2 linked regions of the Oryzias latipes genome follow. The protein of the gene in region 1 interacts with the protein of each later gene in a biochemical or structural test. Links are inferred from orthologs where the notes say so. Each region holds a gene or a part of one and is shown in the gene's direction. Other genes may lie near its edges.

Region 1 (6,352 bases):
GATCCAGGACCAGCAGATCCAGAATCAACATGTGGATCAATCACTAACAGTTCACAGCCAGAGGATCCATAAGCAGTGATGCTTTTGTTTTGTTTTGCTGAAGTGCAGCGGCGTAAAGCAATACTAACTATTAATACAAATTTTTATTTTTACTCCCGTCTTAATATTTTCTTTGTCTTAAGTGAGTCGTTTAGATTTCCTGTTCTGATTTTCTTTACATCTTTGTTTTTGTGTATTTTCAGTCAAACAGTAATGTCAGTTTTTTCCCCTGCGACCTAGATGATTAAATATTTAACCTGTCTTCTTCTTACTCTAGTAAAGAAATATGAACAACAATAATAAAGAGGGTTCGAAGCAGATCACCCTGCTGCTTGGTGGTTAAAATGTCTCAGGAGGATGAGGAGGACGCAGCTTTTCCTTCAGCATCAAACCGGAAGTTGGGATGGTGTCACGCGGAAGAGACGACGACCTCGGAGTAAAAATACCTGATGGCTGAGTCACCGAGCTAAAGTCGAGATGTTTTCTCCAACTGTAGCCGCCAAGCTTGTTCTCCTCACGACACATGCCGAGTTGGAATCTTTAGCTCGCGTCCTATGATTTTTCCCGTTAAAGACGCGGTTCTCCGTAATGTCACACCAGAAGGTGATGCGTGCCTTGCGTGGGTTGTCAGGGCCCACAGGGATCTCCGCAAGCTAACGGACATAGCATTCATGCTAACACGCCACAGAAAAAGGAGACCTGCGTTGTTGCCGACCTGTCTTTTTTTTGGTGACGAAATAAATAAACAAACTTTTGGTCACGTGATTGTAATTGATCTCACCTTCTGGACGAGGAAAGCGGCCCAAATCAGTGTTTCGGGGAGCCTCATGTTGTCTAGCTTGTTGTTGTTTTCCCCATCAACCAACCTACCGGCTTCACCGTAAACCCCGCCTGTAAATTAAGTCAGGACTTGTCATTGGCTGTTGCTGGCCTTTGCAAGTAAACCCGATTTTGATTGGTTATAACAGAGGTCGGTCTAAACCAGTGACCGTAAACCCACGTACATAATAAAATCATTCTACACGTCACTCTGCAGTTCAATTTTATGTAGTTACAATCAAAGAAATGAGAAAAATCTGACATTGTCAATACTCGTGCCCTATCGATTCCACTAACAATGTGATAATACCTCTCTTTACTATACGCCGCGCAGTGCTCCCTGGTGGTCTAGTGGTTAGGATTCGGCGCTCTCACCGCCGCGGCCCGGGTTCGATTCCCGGTCAGGGAACTACCGTTTTGTAAATATTATTATTCAGGACCTTAATGGCACTTTCATAACACAGTATCCTATATATGTGGTGGAACACATTTTTTAAATCCGAATTAATAATCGGTAGTATTTATCTCTCCACAGTGTAGCAACCAACCAATGTTAAAATGGTTAACGGTTACAATTTGAAGTAAGCTGATACTTGATATTTTATGAGTCATTCATAATACTGTTAAATTTTTATCCCGCGGCAGCAAGGCTCAGGTGAGGTCACCAGCACAAATCCGCAGACAGTAACGTGAGTCATGAGACGTTTCCTCAGTATGAGAATAGTGTTGTTTGGTGGAGAGTTGCCTTCTTCAGCCTCACCAGAGCGATCCCGCTTCTGATGTTGTACTTCTATGTTTTTAATGTTTAGTAACGGGATGCGCTGCCGTTGGTCTCCCTTTGTGGATTCCCTTGAAGTTTAGACGCATACTGCAGACCCCGCAGGTACAGTCTTGTGTACTGACGTACTGCTGCAGAGCCTCGATGACGTCATTCCATATGTTCTCCCTTCTGCCAGGTTTTTGCCTGTGTTAAGATCATCACCCGCACCGGAAAGCAAACCAGCGGGACTTCAAAATAAAGCTCTTTAGTAAATTAGTAATTTAGTAAAGAAATGAAAAGTAATGACTAAGTGGACGGAGAATATTTTTTTCTTCGGGAAAAAAAAAAAAAAAAAAAAAAAAATCAAAATAGTGTCGTTGGAAACAGATGAGTGACCAAATCAGAGAGGCTTGTCTCCATGAAGGTTAGATGGCAGATCTAGGTTTGTTTATTCATTTTTTTCATGAATTTATTAATGTATTCATTCATTTGTCCATTCACACATGGATATATTTATACATGTCTTTATTGATTCATATGTTCTGTTGTTTCTGCTGACTGGAGGCTCTGATTACCTCCATGTATGGTAATGAAAATGCTTTTCCCTTTACTATGCATGAGTCTTTCCCCTTACCGTCACAATGGACTGGAAACATCAGAACTGGGTCTGGGGAAAAGCAAAAAAGGAAAAAGACAAACCTGTAAAGTGAATTTTTTTTAATTCCATTTATTAATTTTTTAAAATGTGTTTTATTCTTTATCTAATGAACAATAGCACATGACAAAAACATGACTTAAAAGCTTAATAAGGGCCAATGGCTCTAAATACAGAACAAAAAATAAGAGTAAAACAATTTGTAATGCAATGCTTATTTTTTAAACATACATGGGGTATAATTTTATTTTAAATGACTTTAATTGAAGCTGTTTAAGAAATAAAACAAATTTAAAAGCATAACATGAACATTGATGTTTTATGTCAGTCGTTTGACAGACCTTTATTTTGAAGTGCCAGACCGGAAGCTTCCTGTTAGCTTTCCGTCTGTTCGTCGAGCTGAAGATTCAGTTTAATGAAAGCAGCGCTCCTCGGCAGTATTCCCGTGAGTATCTTATTATATTCCAGTAGAAATACTTCTGAATACTCGCGTTCTCACCGGAAACACATGCCTGGGAATCAATAACGCGCTTCTGTTGGCTTGAACAGTAGTTTTTAAACCGTTAAACCGGGTTTTTATGCTAGCTCTGGGAGGCTAGCAGTATTCAAGCATCTGTTTGCGATCATTCGTGAAAAAGTTCAGTAATGTAATTGTGTTCATATTTACTTAAATTGTAACAGAGGTGGGGCTTTCTACCGATCACCGGTAGAAAAACGGTGATCCCCGGTGTTGCCGCTTCTTTTTAACCGGAAACCCGCTCGTCGGTTGTGTGTGGATGTCCCTTTAACGGAGCCGCTCGCAGCTGGAGGAGATGATGTAAGGAGGGCCGGTATGTGGAGGGCTGACACCAGCCCCAAAGTCTAGAAACTCACGATGCCCAAATATGGCGTTCAGACCCAAACGGAGGTGACCGGCGGCGTTAGGGTGTTAGTTTCCTTCGCGGATGGACACACTTTGGCTGTCTGTCGGTGTCTGACATGACTCTCCCGTTTCCATGGCAGTAACGATCATCAGTGAAGTCAGCAGCATGGCTGGCTTCAGGCAGGAGGACGTGGAGCTGCATTATGAGATGGGAGAGGAGCTGGGCAGGTAAGAGCGTCTGTGAAACGTCACCTGTCATGCCAATGCCTTCTGGGAAATGCAGTCTCCGGAGTCAGTTTTTGGAGCACCATCCATCTGCGAAAGTAAAACGTTTTTATGCTCCTCTGTGCTGCTCAGCTTGGGAATGAGCGAAGTGAATGTTGTGCAGTAATGCAGCAGAAATGTGACGTGGCGCCTCACGGCCCCCTTCTACCTCTGCTGCGTCCAAAAGTCCGTCTCTGCTCAAAAAACTGCTGACTCCAGCATTCATTAGGGGAGCAGTCGCTCTGCAAGCTGCTGCTTTTGGTTTTTGTCCTTTTTTGGTCACATTTTCCTCTTGATGCATCAGATCATCTGTTTTTGTTCATTACCTTTAATAAACTCCCCTAAAGGCTTGAATTTGTCATTTTATTACCAAGAAGCCGATTTCTGTCAGATGTTCTCTTTGTTCAAGTTTGGCGTTTGTCAAACGTGCGGTTGGAGGTTTTGACGCCTCTGCTTCTCCACAGCGGCCAGTTCGCCATCGTCCGTAAGTGCAGGGAGAAGAGCACGGGCGGCGAGTACGCGGCCAAGTTCATCAAGAAGCGGCGTCTGTCCTCCAGCCGGCGGGGGGTGAGCCGCGAGGAGATCGAGCGCGAGGTCAACATCCTGCGGGAGATCCAGCACAGCAACATCATCACCCTGCACGACATCTTCGAGAACAAGACCGACGTGATCCTGATCCTGGAGCTGGTGTCCGGAGGAGAGCTCTTCGACTTCCTCGCAGAGAAGGAGTCTTTGACCGAGGAGGAGGCCACGCAGTTCCTGAAGCAGATCCTGGACGGCGTCCAGTACCTGCACTCCAAACGCATCGCTCACTTCGACCTCAAGGTCAGCAGCATGGCGGGAAAAGGACGTTGTTGCTGCTTCTCATGAGGGATTTACAAGTCGGAGTCGCCACCAGAAAAAAAAAAACCCTCAATCTGACCCCCTTAAGGAGGCAGCGAGTCATTCCGCCTTAAGAACACCACAAACACATAAAAAGACGTTTTGTGACCTTGAAGGTCGTTGGGTGAGGCTTCAGTCCAGAAATGTTCTGCATCTTATCTTTCAGCCGGAGAACATCATGCTGCTGGACAAGAACGTTCCCAACCCCAGGATCAAGCTGATCGACTTTGGGATCGCTCACCAGATTAAAGCAGGAAACGAGTTCAAGAACATCTTCGGGACTCCAGAGTTTGTGGGTGAGTTTCTCCGGCGGTTCTGCTGGAGTCGATCCTCAGATCTGATGCTAATGACGGCGTTCTGGTCTGCAGCTCCTGAAATCGTCAACTACGAGCCGCTCGGCCTGGAGGCGGACATGTGGTGAGCCTCCCCCCCCTCCCCCCTCAGCATCTCACCTGAAGCTGCACACCTGTCCAGCCCACACTCATGTCTGTTGTCTTTGCAGGAGCATCGGCGTGATCACGTACATCCTGTGAGTCAGCCGTCCCGTCTCAGCGTTGGGTGGGGTGGGGTGGGGTCGTCCTGGGTCGGGTCTGACGTGGTTTTGTGCGTTAGGTTGAGCGGAGCGTCTCCGTTTCTGGGCGAGACCAAGCAGGAGACTTTGACCAACATCTCTGCCGTCAACTACGACTTTGACGAGGAGTATTTCAGCAACACCAGCGAGCTCGCCAAGGACTTCATTCGCCGCCTCCTGGTCAAGGATCCAAAGTAACCACGTTTCTAGTGTCTGTAGTGACTAACCTGGTTCCTTTATCAGACACGGGTTATGCTTTAATGTTTCTATGCTGCTTCATTTCAAAGATTTCCATTTGTCTTCTTTGAGGGAACCTTTATTAAGAGAAAAAAGGTGGCATCATGTGAAAGTGTGCGTTTCTCACTGCTCTGACCTCCTGCAGGAAGAGGATGACGATTGACGACAGTCTAGAGCATCCCTGGATTAAGGTGAGTGTCCGAGCTTCTGATATAAAGGTTAGAAACATTTCTGTGGATGAACGTCTCCCTCAGACATCAGCGTCACGCAGGGGGCAGAAATCAAATCAGCAGGACGTTTCCCCTCCAATCAGATCTTTGCTTCATACCTTCTTTCCCTCTCAGGTCATTAAGAGACGAAACGTCCGGCCAGAGGAGGGAGACCAGAAGACCAAGCGCCGGCGCCTGAAGACCACCCGTCTGAAGGAGTACACCATCAAGTCCCACTCCAGCATGCCCCCCAACAACACCTACGTCAACTTCGAGCGCTTCTCCCAGGTGCTGGAGGAGATCGCGGCTGCAGAGGAGGGCCTGAAGGAGCTGGAGCACAACCAGCGCTCCTGCCAGGAGGACGTGGCGGCGCTGCTGTCCATCTACGAGGAGAAGGAGGGCTGGTACAAGGAGGAGAACCAGAGCATCTCCTTAGACCTGAGCCACATCCGCCAAGACCTGCAGCGCACCCAGGCCCAGCGGAAGAAGTGCCAGGAGGAGACGCGGCTCACCACGCAGGCCGCCAGCATCCTGAAGCGCAGGTTCGGCCGCCTGGAGAACCGGTACGAGGTCCTGGCGGAGCAGGTGGCCTCAGAGGTGCGCTGGGTGGAGGAGCTGGTGAAGTCCTTTTCTGAGGAGAAGGCCGCCCTGAGCCCAGTCAGCTTGGCCTAGACCGGTTCTGGTCCAAAGACTCCATCTGCAGTTGTAGGAACTGCTTATAGTTTTACTGCTTTTATGCGTCGAGCTGCATTTTTATCCTAAAGCTGTACGTTATGAGGATGTTCATTCCATTCTAGACTTTTATCCCAAACTCACTGCAGTAAGTTCTTAACATTTTACATTTATGACTTTTTAGAATGATTTTCCTAAATGAGTCATTTTCACGTGAACATAAAGGACCAGGAAATTATTTAATGAGACGAGCTTTACTAGATTCGTGAATGTACGAACATTTTAGTGCCTGAAACATTTTCAACCTCATAAGACAACTCAGTCTCACCGTCGCCATGGAAACCGAACCACGCACATGGAAGCTCACCATGAAGACTCTTTG
Region 2 (6,178 bases), on another chromosome or scaffold:
TGATGTTGTCTTGTTGGCTTCATTGAGCCAAGACCGCCAATGAGGCAATTGTGGGCGTGGCCGGGATGGCCAAGTTTAAGTTTGTCCCCTCCGGGTGGGTGGAGTTGTCCTGCCCCAGGTTGAGTAGTTGAAGTATCTCAGGGTCTTGTTCACGAGTGAGGGAGGAACAGAGCGTGCAATCGACAGGCGGATTGGTGCAGCGTCCACTGTTATGCGGTCGCTTTACCATTCTATTGTGATGATGAGAGAGAGAGCTGAGCCAGGAAGCAAAGCTTTCAATTTACCGATCGATTCTCGTTCCAATACTCATTTTCACAGAAAAAAACCCTGAAATAAGTCAATAATTCTTAAAATTTTAAAATGCTCCTTAAATAAAGCAACAAATCTTCTAATGGTGTAAAAAACAAACATCTTACCAAGAACTCTTATTTAAAAAAATAAATTCTAGTACCTTAGATAAACCATTGAAAAGATTCCGTTTTTTCTGTGCATGAAAAATACCACAAGAACATGTTAAAAAAACAACACTATTTTTATTAAAGCAGGTCTTTAAAAAAGACAAATGGAAAAGAGTTATAATCAACTGAACAAAGAGAAAGTTGTAGTTTTTCAGAAGCTTATTTGATGACAGCTTTTCTGCACCACAAGATCCAGCAGCTGTGAGGGTCAGAGTCACTGCAACACAGCAGGAAAAACTGCCCCTCAGTGAAATCCATCAACATATCTGTTAGCGTTAAAAGTCACGGAGAGCATTTCCTCCTGCTGAAGAGAAGAGGAGCCATGTGGTTTGTGAAGGAGCTAAGCAGGAGAGATTTCAGCTGATGGTGCAGATTTTTTTTTTTTTAAGGAGTCTGGCTGCTTTCCATCTGGAAACTGGAGCTGCAGGACTGAACTGTCGGACCTTCAGTCCAGACTAGAACCCACAGATCAACGTCAGACTGAAGATCAGCTGATCCATATCATGCTAAATCTGTTTTTTTTTTCCTGGGAAATGTTTTTAAATAAAACTGCACCTTTTTGAACTTTCACACGATGCACCTTTTCCAAAACAGCGTAAGAAACGTTTTAGTTTGATGCAAACCTCCAGTCCACACCCATTCCCTCCTCAGGCATTGCTTCTGTTGGGAAAACAGTGGAGGCGCTCCTCTGATCGGAGCTGGCTGGGTGACTCCTGCAGCGCCTGGGGGGAGTCTGTGTGGGAGAGTTCAGTCGCAGACAAGCTCTGGTCTGCCCAGACGCTCCTCTCCGACTGCACTACTGTCGACGTGGTGCTGCTGAAGGAGCTGTGGTGATGTACGTCAGAGCTGCGAAGGCGTGCAGTGTACCTACTGATGTTGATGGACAGAAAGGATTCCTCCAAATGTACCGCCAAAACATCAGAAACGTTACCGGCACTGTGATGGAACAAAAAGGGCCGTCTTTGGCAAACCTTGTAGAAAAGACCACCTTTTTCCTGCACAAACACGAGTTTTTAGACAATTTCTTAAAATGGAAATGTTTTTCTCAGAGTTCAGCTCAAAATGAGCAAAAAACTTGTAATTGTAAATAAATAAATGAATCTCCAAATCATCAAATCTGAGGATAAATGGCAGAGATCAATTATTTTATTTAAACTTAAAGTAGGTTTTATTGATATGTGTCATTTACATACATTTCGGAAGGCAATTATATTATTATTTTTATTATTAGAGGAACTTTATTATACTTTAGTAGTATTTTATCGTGGACTTTTAGGTTTTATTTTAAGTTTTTGTTTTGTTTTTATCTTTTCAGCCGTAATTCTTTTTTTTGTTGCTACAAATTGCAGTAAAACATTGCAAACTGCTGCAAATTTGTACTTTTATTAGTACTTTCATATTTAAAAAAATATATTTGAACCATATAAATTCTATAGTCATTATTTTGTAACACAAAATACAGTTGTATCATCAGCAAATGATAGAAAACAAACAAAAAAATACTGAAATGAATTGAAATGATATTTCAAATTATGAAATATCATGAAATATGAAATTATGAAATGTATTTTAAACTTTAATGTCAGTGGTGTTTTATCAAAGACATAGAATATTAAGTGTTTTATTTTATCTTTTGTTCATTGTTTATTAAAATTAAACATGAAAAGCATAAAATAAATAACGACAAATAATATACACAAAACATTTATAACTAAGTCCTAAAAAAAACCAAAAAACAAAAAACAAAAGAAACTTTAGAGCTTCGGCTTTATCCGGAAGTGCTCGTGTGTTTTCGCCATCACCTCCGCGAGGGCAGAGCGAGCAGAGAGCCGCACGCAGCGCTCCGGAGCAGCGCCACTCATCTGAGCGGAACACGTTCACACCTGGTCTGACAGAGGAGGGCAGTTCGACGGCAGAAGCGGCGCCTCTCAGGTGAGTCTCCGTCACAGCCTCGCTGCTCCGTCCTCCACTGTAAAGTCCGGTAGTTTGGGCAAATTTAAATAAAAGAAGAAGAAGAAGAAGAGGCCAGAGTAACTTTGCGAGGAAAGTCAGGTGTGTGTGTCTGTTTAAAAAAACAAAAAACTCCTGCGCGGAATCAAATAGGGCGTCTCGGTTTGGAAAAACGAGCAATTAAAAAAACAAAAAAGAGGTGTTGACTTTATTTTCTTGTACCTGTCAGCAGCTCCTGGGTTAATCACTTAAGGAATGCGGCGCCATTAGGACGGGGGCCGAAAGCGGAACACTTTAGTCAACTTTGACTCAACTTTCACCAACTTGTGAGGAGAGAAAAAGCCCGGGGGTGATGGCCACGGGCGGGTTTAAGCCAAACGCCACCACCGACTTTCTGGAGGAGTGGAAGGCAAAGCGGGAGAAAATGCGGGCCAAAATGTTGGGGGACATCGCCGCGGCCACCGGCGCCAACAACAGCCGCCACGCTTCTCCCGCCGGCGACAGCCCGGAGCGGGGCGCCTCCGCCGGGAACTGCCACCCCTCCCCTTGCGCGGTGGTTCGGTCCTCCTCCGGCGGCGCTTTGAGGAGAGCGGAGGAGGAAGCGGCGCACCACCCCGTCTCGCCGGAGAGCAGCCCGAGGAAGGCCACGCCTCAGGCGGACAAGGCTCCCTGCGCGTCCCCGGACTCCAGCCCCATGGCGTGCAACGACGCCGACAAGGAGAGTCCATCACCCGGCAAGGGCAAGGAGAAGAAGAGCTCCGGCCCCAGCGCCAGGAAGGGCAAGGGGCAGATCGAGAAGAGGAAGCTGAGGGAAAAGAGGAGATCAACAGGTGTTGTCAGCATACCGTCCAATGAGGTGAGTCCGTCCGTCCGCCCGGGGCTCCATCCACGGGATGAGGGCAGATAAATGTAGTCTGACATTTTTCAGATCACTATACCCGATCACTAAAGTGGACCTGATCCGATTCCAGTTTGATACCAAGTCCCGATCCAAAACTTAACACATTCAATAATGAACAAATTAAATAAACGGGTCCAGGTTGTGCCCTACTTTACATTTAATTGACCTTAAGTTATAAGTTATGCTTCATTGTGGCCTTTTTAGCCAAAAGTAAAAAAAACAACAACTTGTCATTTCACTTTCTAGGACATAGTTTCTGCAGAGGGGCAGTCTTTAATTAGAAACTTACCTCAGAGTTGTGGGTTTGTGAGACTGTATGTTTGGAGTAAGCCCACCCCCTTTTCCCATCATCCAACGGTTTACTCTCTCTCTCCCGCTAGCTTACTGCCCTTCACGCCACCGAGCTAACATTACAGGCGCAACAAAAACGGCGAGCAATATCGGAGCCCTCCGGCCGTACAGTTGAGATCCAGATTCAGATGTGTGACGAGAAGTGGGGCGGGCTTACGCTGTGCCAATAGCCCCGCCCACAACTTGGAGTCGGATTTCTTATGAGCTCCTGCCGCTCTGCAGAAACTATGTCCTAGAAAACCACACGCTGGGAACGCTTTTACAATAGATCAAAGGATGATCAGAGTGGGACTTTGAAGACAAACCAGTAGAGACACTCACTGTCAACTTTAAATGTTTCTTGAAAGATTTTGAGCCTGGTAGTCAAATTCTGTGAATTTCTTGCCGACTTCGCTGAACTGTTTTTCTGTGCACCTCCTGCTCAAACAAGTGTCGTATTCTGCTGCGTTTTAATGCAATAAAGTGATCCGTTCATGATATGAAGACTTCTACCAAGGCATTTATGTGAAATAATAAGTTAGAAATATGAAACTACATGATCTGGCCTGATCTCCGATTGTAGTTGGATTGGGACTTCCTTAGTTTTAGGGGCGCCAAAAGACTTTTTCTTTGTTTTATAGAGTTGGAAAAGGATTTAACCTTCTTCTTTTTCTAAATACTTTCTAAAAGTAATCACATTTGGAGAACTTGTTCCCTCAGAAACCTCCAAAATTCCTCTCATGCATGTTAATCCACCATCAAGAGAAAGAAACGAAAAGCAGCTCTTGCAGGGAGGAGGGGGTGGGGGTGGGGGGGGGGGGTAAGGTGGAGGTCATTGTTTTTTTAATTTGAATGGTGTACCACTCCTGCCTGGTTCCTTTCGTCTCACACGTGTGGTTCTGTGTGGCCCTACCCTTGGATAAAGTCTCAACCACCTCGTCCTTGGTAGCCTCCCAGGGTTCTGTGCTCCCAGGAGTTGGAGCTGTTGTCGGTCGCTGCTCCACATCCTGTCATTAGGTGCTCAGCAGGGCCGTTTGAAAGCCAGCCAGGCGGTAATGCCGGGCTTCTGCTCTGCCAGATTTGTCTGATGGAGCCCATAAGGGAGCCGGTTGGTGAACAAGCTGTTATTTCAGGGTCTAATCTGACGAGGTGGGGAGGTTTTTTTTTTTCTTTTTCTTTCCTTTCGTCAATTTTTCAGTCTTTGAAATTGAAACCTGGGCTGCATTTGTCCCTCAGGCCGGACTTTGGACACGCCTGACCTAAAGGACACACGCCTTTCTTTCTCTGACATACACCCTAACAGAGTTCTGCTTACAAACAATACATTTTTAACCCTTGTGCTATCTTGTGGGGTCACAATGACCCCACATCGACGTGTTCTCCCTACATGATAAAGGTGGAAAGATTTTTTGTAATCCATGGACACCAGTGAAGATCACAAATCATTGAAGAAAAAAAGTTCAGCGCACTGTCTAGTGGGTCTAGATGACCCAACTCCCAATGTTAAAGTGCTTAGGATAGCACAAAGGTTAAAGGAAAATATTTTAGTCTTTTGCCAAGCATTTTCTCTTTCACCTTTCAGAATTCAACAATTTGCACACTCATCAGAAATTTCGCCATTCTGGTTAAACGTATTACCGATCAAAAAGAGGAATCATTTGTTGCCATAGCAACAGGAGATGTTTCGTCTTCCGGGCTTCACCTCCAACCGGGTTATGATTGTAGCCACTTCCTAACACAACACCCATGCAATACTTTATTGTTGGGGTGGGGGTGTAGTTCTTTTTGTGAGGAGACTCTTCCTTATCGATGGACGTGCTCCATTGTTTTGGAAAACATCCCATCGTTCCTGATGGGGACGTGTCCTCCTAGACCTCCCTCCCTGCTCCCGTTGAAAGAACAAAACCCTGCAGAGTCACACAAGCCCCCTTTTGTGATGTGGATGCGAATGGACGGGTGTGAGCGGACATGGCTGCCATTATCTCCCCGCCCGTTCCGCACAGAACAATGGCCGCCGAGCCGATTTCAGAGCAACCGGGAAACCCAATCTTCTGCCCGTTCAAGGCTGTAACTGCTCCATAAAAGCATCCCGCTTCAGGGGAGAGAGCGCGGCTTCAATCACTGCCACCTCCGAGGGCGTCTCCGTTCTGCCGCTCCGCTCGCTGCCTCAAACTGTCGCTGACCCTTTGACCTGGTTATGCAACCCAGGAATGTGCAGAGGGGAGTTAGGAGGCCTTCCGTCCTGGTAACTCCTGTTTGTGCTGAAGTATGACTCCTGTCGGTGAGTTTCCCGGTGGACCGTGTCGGTCGTTTATGAGCTACACGAGTGATGAGGTTGCGGTTAGACTCCTGTTGAGGGCTTTGCCCTCATGCAGATGCTTAAATGTCCCACTGCTGCTGCTGCTGCTGCTGCTGCTGCTGCTGCTGGGTAGTGTGGGGCTGCCAGCAGCCCACAGCTATTCTCCTGCAGCTTCACTGAGGAGGTCAACCGGTCTAACGTGCAATCCTGAGCTCAGCACTCAGCCCGTTAACACTCCTG

Evidence for each region.
Region 2: of the proteins of dapk3 (region 1) and pawr, one has a biochemical effect on the other in vitro, tested with the Homo sapiens proteins (2 studies listed by BioGRID). The link is inferred for Oryzias latipes from reciprocal best matches to the Homo sapiens genes DAPK3 and PAWR.

What each region holds. Positions count from the first base shown.
Region 1 is NC_019875.2:30,203,878-30,210,229, reverse strand, and holds the start of dapk3 (death-associated protein kinase 3), read left to right. Parts: upstream 1-2,611; 5' UTR 2,612-2,718; intron 2,719-2,751; exon of another isoform or gene 2,752-3,180; intron 3,181-3,275; 5' UTR 3,276-3,301; coding exon 3,302-3,363; intron 3,364-3,863; coding exon 3,864-4,224; intron 4,225-4,447; coding exon 4,448-4,577; intron 4,578-4,649; coding exon 4,650-4,698; intron 4,699-4,783; coding exon 4,784-4,810; intron 4,811-4,893; coding exon 4,894-5,046; intron 5,047-5,234; coding exon 5,235-5,280; intron 5,281-5,433; coding exon 5,434-5,970; 3' UTR 5,971-6,352. Other genes in the region: sppl2b (signal peptide peptidase-like 2B), read right to left, coding at 821-868. UniProt on the Homo sapiens protein: Serine/threonine kinase which is involved in the regulation of apoptosis, autophagy, transcription, translation and actin cytoskeleton reorganization. Involved in the regulation of smooth muscle contraction.
Region 2 is NC_019881.2:19,317,511-19,323,688, forward strand, and holds the start of pawr (PRKC apoptosis WT1 regulator protein), read left to right. Parts: upstream 1-2,205; 5' UTR 2,206-2,390; intron 2,391-2,637; 5' UTR 2,638-2,760; coding exon 2,761-3,264; intron 3,265-6,178. UniProt on the Homo sapiens protein: Pro-apoptotic protein capable of selectively inducing apoptosis in cancer cells, sensitizing the cells to diverse apoptotic stimuli and causing regression of tumors in animal models.